2 linked regions of the Macaca fascicularis genome follow. The protein of the gene in region 2 interacts with the protein of the main gene of each other region in a biochemical or structural test. Links are inferred from orthologs where the notes say so. Each region holds a gene or a part of one and is shown on either strand. Other genes may lie near its edges.

Region 1 (3,650 bases), on a different chromosome or scaffold from region 2:
AATTACTTTATACATTTGAGCCACTGAAGTTTTATTCTTTAATCTTTCCTTTTTATTAAATAAGAAAAGAAAAGAAAAGTTGGTGCCCAAGTAGGCAGGGAAATAGGAGGAATGGGAACTAGAAAGGCAGACGCATGGTGTGCTGTTAAAATGGGATGGTCGTCTTCAGCTGACACAGCATGTAGACTGTTTTGTGCCTTTGATTAAAATAACATTTTAAATGCTTTGAACAAACATATCTCTTTAGACTTCTAAGGGATTATTTTACATATTTCTTCTAGAATGAAGAAATCCATTCGTCCTGTTGCTGAACAGAAAGGCCAAGAATATCTTTCGTCACACATAAAATAAAAATACTGTAGCCTGCTGCAGTATCACAACCCAGGAAAAAAAAAAAAAAAAACAGGGGGGCCAGAGGGTGGAAGGATGAGGACAAAGCTGCCTTGGAGATTAACTTTGCCTTTTATGAAATCACATTTAGTCACTTTCTTAAACAAACCTGCCACAGTGATCTGCAGCCTCTCACTGGGAAATGCCTTCAATGTGAAATGAGGATTTGGATGTTTTTGGCAAAAGCAGCAAATCTTTCCATTGAAACATAAATAGGTGGCCCAAGTCTCCCTGGCAAGGCCACCCCTGAAAGATCTATGTGCACTGAGGCCAGGCATTGACACTACAGGTGAAACTGTCCCCAGAACATCAATCAACAAAGACAAAAGGCACCCAGCACCTCTCTGGCCTGGTGGCTCAGCCCGGGGAAGAGACGCTGCTCGGGTGTTCACAGCACTCTGAGAAGCCAGTGTTTACATGCCTGTGGCCTGGACATGTCTCAAAGCCCCTTGCATCTTGGAAAGCTTATGAGACACTTCATGCTAGGGCACCCATCAGAAGGCAAGGCCCAGAGGCCAATCTGGTTCACTGATGCCTCCCCAGTGCCTGGCAGGAGGCTGCAGGAATCTACATACCACCAGTCTCCCCACAAAAGAGAGGGCTCACTAAGTCCCTTGTACAGGTGAGCAAAGTGAGGCTCAGTGTCACAAAGCTTTGGAGACTTGGGGGAGACAGGCTTGCAGCATTACCCTGACTGCGTCCTGGGTGATGGGTGTTGATGAGTGCCCAAGCCCATCTGTCTCACCCTCCTAGAAGCATCCAAAGCCTGAGTCCCTCCAGAGCCCATGCTACCTTCCATGATGGAAGCATGGTAATGATCAATGCACTCGTTTCCCCAGCCAGCCACCTACTTGCATGCCGCAGAGCCAGAGGAGGCCCCTGAGAGAGAAGTGCCACAGGCAAAAAACTGATTAAGAGCCCCTGCTCATCTAATCCTCACACCAGGCCTGCTGGTATTACCATTTCTGTTGACAGATGGGGAAACTGAGGCTCAGACCCATGAAGTGGCTAACCCAAAGTCAACCATCAGGATTTGAAGACTCGTCTGCATAAACTCTGATGCCCGTCTTGCTCCAGGACGGGCTGCTGCTTTTTAGGGAACCCAGGCTGGCCAGGCCCTCCTTTCTCCCCCAGGCCTCCTGGGCTCAGAAGTATAAACCAGAAACAAACACTCTGGTTTGCACAGAAAGCAGTGGCTCCCCAGAAGAGGTTCCAGCATGCCATGGTGCTGGCCAAGAGGGAGGGACTTCATGCTAACTCGCTGTGGTGAGCAGACCCATGCCTGGGGACAGAGGGGCCCTAGACCTGTTCTCAAGGTGGTAAAACCAGCTGTCCCAGTGGTCGAATGAGTGAGCATGTCAAAGGGCATGTCCAACCTCCCCCAACGGGCACAGTGCTCCAACAAGTTCCCACACCCCTGCCTGGGACCGGCCCCTGGGGTCAGGCAACGTCAGAAGCAACGTCTGAGATCAGGGGGCCTAACTCCTCTTTTCACACATGGGAAACTGAGTCCAGAGAGAAAGGAGAGGGGAGAGAATAAGCACTCCCATTCCTAAGTGCCTACCAGGTCACGCCGCATGCAACAGCTCATTAATCCTCACAGCAACCCTAATAGGTGGGTTTCCTTAGCTCCATTTCATAGATGGGCAAACTGACATGTCCAAGTTGTGAAGACAAATTCTAACCCAAGACTGTGTAGCTTCAAAATCAGGGACTAAGCCGAGATCAGTAGCAAAGAGAGGGCCAACCAGACTTCCAAATTTTCATTCTGTGCTTCTGACCACCTCTGGATTAGCCCCTGAGACAGAGTCCCCTCACCAAAAGCAAGCAGCCATCAGTCATTTGGGCCTCCCCGAGCCCCAGGCCTGTCTCCTCCTGAAGGTCACCTGGATGGTGGACCCTCAGAAAGGGGGAGCCCTGGCTGGTGGCCCAGAGGCCATCCTGGAAGCCCCTGGGCCTTCCCCTGCACCAGTACACTCAGACAGAGGGCGTGGGACCCCGGAGGTGCCTTCTGGAGCAACCAGGCAAGCGCAGCATCCCATACCTGCAATGTTCTCCTGCTTGGGACAGATGCCTTTCGTGGGCGAGAGCAGGTGGTCATCTTCGTCGGGGGTGACTTGGATCCCGATCTCCACCGGCTCGGACACTTTCCTGAGCTCGGAGCGTGAGGAGGGCGGCGGGCTGTCCTTGTCCAGGGCCTTGTCATAGCAGGCACCCAAGCTGCCGCCACACTGCTTCCTTTTGTGCTCTATAAAAACCAGGATGTCCCCCAAGGGGAAGTTCATTTGACACTGGCCACAGGTGAGCAGGTCAGGGTCGGGGCCACCCACCATCAGCCCCAGGCCACTTGGCTCCTCTATCTCCAGACCCTCGTCTTCTTCGAGGATGGCAGCCTCCACATGGTCAGCCTCTGCTGGAGACAGAAAGAAGAAAGGGAAGGGGCAGAGAAGATAGAGATGGGCTTAGGCGGTCACAGCACCCGACTTCCGGTCCACCCCATCCCCACCAAGAAGCAGACCCCACTGCTGCTGGCTGCTAGAGCTCACCAGGTCCTCCCTGGGGTTGGGGGCTGGTGAGCATCCCCCACGGGACAGACGGGCACACACTGAGGCTCTTGGAGCAACGTCATGCCCCCTGGGCATTGCCACATAAGTAGTGCTGATCTTACTGCATTCTAGTTTATTTTCTGCCAGTTTCTCGCCAACGTAGTATAAGAACACACACGAACACACGCGCAAACACACACACCGTGGCTGCTGATAGCATGAGATCGTGACATGTCTCTCAAAGTTTACAGTATCTGAGAATCACCTGGAGGCTTTGAAAAATCCCAAGGTCCAGGCAGCACCCCCCTGACCAATTACCCTGGGAACAAACATCGGAATATTCTTTCAGACTCCCCAGGTGATTCCAATGGGCAGCCAGGGCTGAGAACCAGTGAGCTGGAACCCTTTCCCCCTGCTGGGCTGGAGCCCCACCCCTCCCATCCCTTACACCTTCATTCATGCCCTCCCCATTCATGCGAATCCCACTGACATTCCTCTACCTGGGACCTGGAAACACACCAAACTAGAAAACAGAAACCCAGATGGGCGTCTCGGGGTCCGTCCTTAGGAGAGAAGGAAGCCCACATGCTCAGAAAGCAACAAGTGAGTGTCAGGTTCCAAAAAAATATCTTAGGAGAAAGCACTGCAGCAGAAGGGAGGCTGGAACCGGCTTGCAGAGTTGGGAAGCCGGCTCTCCCTGCCAAGCACCCGGGG
Region 2 (3,650 bases):
TGTTTTCACCCCTCTACTTTGAAAGGAAAGTTTGTGACTGAACCGTGCTTTCATAGTTGTGTCATTTTTTTTAAAGCATGATACTCGTTTTATTTCTTCATCAAACTCCACCCTCTGCTTAAATACTGCATACAAATTACAATTTACAACGGCATTTACCGATCCTTCTGATTTGGCCATAATGCATAGACTGCAGCTGGCATGAGCTTCCACATCATTTAATCCCTGTGTTGTATGGCTTTGTTTTTTAAAAAAACACAACTTTTGATGTTGTATTTGGATATGCTTCATGTTCATGTGGCAAGAGATGCAGTACTTTTCTTATAACTATATTTAGCCGTTTACAGTTAAACTTTATCTCTTGACAATCATTAAAGATGTCTTATAGTCAAATTAGCGAACCAGTCAATTTTGCAGAATGCAGATTACTCCTTCTTGTAATTGACTTTAAAATTATATTTTATATGCCACAAGAAAAGAAATTGAATTCCTTCAGATCTTAAGGAGCAGACAAATATGACTACTTCATTTCTAGCTCCAGGGAGATTTTGTAGGCATCTGAAAGAAAAAAAAAAAAAAACAACTTTGAATTGTACTCTCACTTAATTGAAAAATAACTGCCAAGTTCAAAACTATAATTAGAAAAAAGTATTCTAGCCATTATGTTTCAAGAGCTTAAATTGCACTGGAACTTGCATTAAAATTAGAATCAAAGCAAACTTCAGAAAATAGAGCAAAACCTGAAATAAGACAGCTACATGTACATGAACATATCTATATTAATTTGTTGGGGGGAAGAGTTCAGTAGCCCTAACTTCTCCTAAAGTTGTCTTTGTTTACATGGCAATTTAAAACGCTGGCACTGTTGAAGTAAAACATACACATTAAAAAAAAAAAAAAAAAAAAAAACTTTGGTCAGCTTTAAGAACTCAAAGCATGCTTACGTTTTGCATTCAGATGGTTAATGAATCCAGTGTTTTTGCAGTTGAAAGCTCGTGCATTCACTGGGCAAAAGCTGGCTGCAGGTTGCAGTGGCACCGCGCAGGACAGACATTAATTATATTTCCTACTTTTTTCAATAATGTTTGGCTACTGTAAGTTCAACTTTTTTTCTTGAAAATTTTCAATTTTCTGTTGCTTTTAATAGTGAGAACTTTGTATGGGGCGACGGGGAGGAGAGGAGAAGGGAGGGGCGCAGGATACTTGTTCTCTACTCAAAAGTTGTAAGTGGTTAGTAGGATATGTAACTTGTGTCTATTTTAAGAATTATTCTATAGCATTTTAAGAGAATGTGGAAACATTTTATCAGCAAAACGCTGCTTGCTTGCAAATGAGGAGGCCGCTAGGCATTTGCCTAGAACCACAACCTTTCTCCGGTTTCGCCTTTTTTTAACCTTGATTTTTTTCCCCCCCATTCTGGAGGGGTGAGTGGGGTTTCATTTATCTGTGTGTTCCCCCTTGGTGGCTTAGGGGTTGGGTGACACTTTCTTGACCTTGCCAGGGTGGGGGCCCTGTAGTCAGGCCTAGCTCCGGCGGGGCTGAGGTGGCCAAGGGCTCAGGCGATGGCTGGACACATCGAGCTGTGGAGCTGGAGGGCCTCACCCCAGATCTCCTAGCGGTGTGGACTGTGAGAGCGAGCCGGAGAAGATGCGCGGGGCGCGTGTGGCTGCGGGAAGAGCTTCTGCATTGTGTTGGGTACGCTGCGGCGCGGCAATGTTCGCAAGCCCCCTGGATGCACATTGCCTCTTTTCTCTCTTTCTTTTTGTCAGCGGTTCAGCGAGGAAGAATGCCTCCAACCCAGCCCAATCCAGGCCAGTACGCACTCACCAACGGGGACCCCCTCAACGGCCACTGCTACCTGTCCGGCTACATCTCGCTGCTGCTGCGCGCCGAGCCCTACCCCACGTCGCGCTACGGCAGCCAGTGCATGCAGCCCAACAACATTATGGGCATCGAGAACATCTGCGAGCTGGCGGCGCGCCTGCTCTTCAGCGCCGTCGAGTGGGCCCGCAACATCCCCTTCTTCCCGGATCTGCAGATCACCGACCAGGTGTCCCTGCTACGCCTCACCTGGAGCGAGCTGTTCGTGCTCAACGCGGCCCAGTGCTCTATGCCGCTGCACGTGGCGCCGCTGCTGGCCGCCGCCGGCCTGCACGCCTCGCCCATGTCCGCCGACCGCGTCGTGGCCTTCATGGACCACATCCGCATCTTCCAGGAGCAGGTGGAGAAGCTCAAGGCGCTGCACGTCGACTCGGCCGAGTACAGCTGCCTCAAAGCCATCGTGCTGTTCACGTCAGGTGAGGCTGCGGTCGCGGGGAGGGCAGGCCGCGCCGGCGGCGAGCGCAGGCCCAGCGCCGCCCGGGCCTGGCCTTCGGAGCCTCCCGCGCAGCCGGTGCGTGTCGGGTCGGGCCCTTGCTGTGCACTGAGCCTGGCCGGGGTCTGGTGACCCCCGCGCGGGGACCGGCCAGCCGCGCCGCTGCCATCTTGGGAGCGCGGCGGTGCGGGAACCGAGGCGGCGCGGGTGCGGCCGGCGGGCGGCCGGGCCTGGTCGCGCGGACCCCTACCTGGGGCCGCGGCTGCCGCTGGTGTGTGTCTGAGGCGGGGGGGGGGGGGGGGCCGGGGGGCGGTGCTGTGGATCCGTCTGGCTGCGTGTGTGTGTGTGTGTGTGTGTGTGTGTGTGTGTGTGTGTGTATGTGTGTGTGTGTGGTGCGTGTTATGTGTGAGCCAGAGCTCAGCGTTTCTGGGGGAGGCGAGGGAAGGAAGAGAACGTGGGAATGTGGCTTCTTACCCTTTGTGGCACGCTCCTTGGATGAGTTTCCCGACACAGAGAGACACAGAGAGAGGTGGAAAGAGAAGAATACGCACAAATAAATCATAAATAATCCCGCTTTATCGCTGCCTGATTTTCCCTTATCGGAAACCATTCATGTTTGCAGTTGCTGAGGTTATTGAGGGTCGTAAAAAACGGATTCGATCTAAACAAGAAAGATAAAAAACAAAGGCAATACTGTAGAACCCGCAAGTATGGGAGGATTCCCCGCCTGGAGATGAATTCCAAAGCTATGCAAAACACATGAAGGTTGGAAATTTAACAGAGTGACTTTAAAAATATCAAATTATGTGTAGGCAGTGGTAACATGTATGTTAACAATTTCTCTTATGATAGATGGTTCAAATTAACTTCCAGGAAAGTGCATTAACGTTTCCTTTGAAGGGCTCTGGTCTGAGCCTCTGAGAACATTGCCGGCTTTTTATTATTATAACATGCAAGAGGGAAACATATAAACACCCAGGACAGCAGGTAATGGGGAGAAATAGAAACAAAGCCAGAGAGGACGCTGGTGGGAAGTAGTGCTGCTTACACTGGGTCTTGGGCCCTGACCACTGTGAGTAGGGTTAGCTGCAGTTTTACCACCATTATTGGCAGTATTGTTTTTAATTCCTCCATTCGGAGAACAAATAAACCATCCCAATAAATCTGTCCTAAAGCCAGGCTTTCCAATGGCCAAATTAAAACCATTCTTGAACAGAGATACCAAAATCCCTTTCCTAAGGCCTTGTTGAACAGTAAGCAATGGTATAATCTATCAATATTTCTTGGCTTTCATGCGTGAAGAATCGTATTTACATTGTATTAAAATGACTCTTAA

Evidence for each region. The genes of interacting proteins can lie anywhere in the genome.
Region 1: the proteins of NR2F1 (region 2) and BCL11B form a complex in vitro, tested with the Homo sapiens proteins (2 studies listed by BioGRID). The link is inferred for Macaca fascicularis from reciprocal best matches to the Homo sapiens genes NR2F1 and BCL11B.

The regions. Positions count from the first base shown.
Region 1 is NC_088381.1:167,329,705-167,333,354, forward strand, and holds part of BCL11B (B-cell lymphoma/leukemia 11B), read right to left. Parts: intron 2,804-3,650; coding exon 2,435-2,803; intron 1-2,434. UniProt on the Homo sapiens protein: Key regulator of both differentiation and survival of T-lymphocytes during thymocyte development in mammals.
Region 2 is NC_088380.1:97,588,455-97,592,104, forward strand, and holds part of NR2F1 (COUP transcription factor 1), read left to right. Parts: intron 1-981; exon of another isoform or gene 982-1,081; coding exon of another isoform or gene 1,082-1,094; intron 1,095-1,769; coding exon 1,770-2,297; intron 2,298-3,650. UniProt on the Homo sapiens protein: Coup (chicken ovalbumin upstream promoter) transcription factor binds to the ovalbumin promoter and, in conjunction with another protein (S300-II) stimulates initiation of transcription. Binds to both direct repeats and palindromes of the 5'-AGGTCA-3' motif.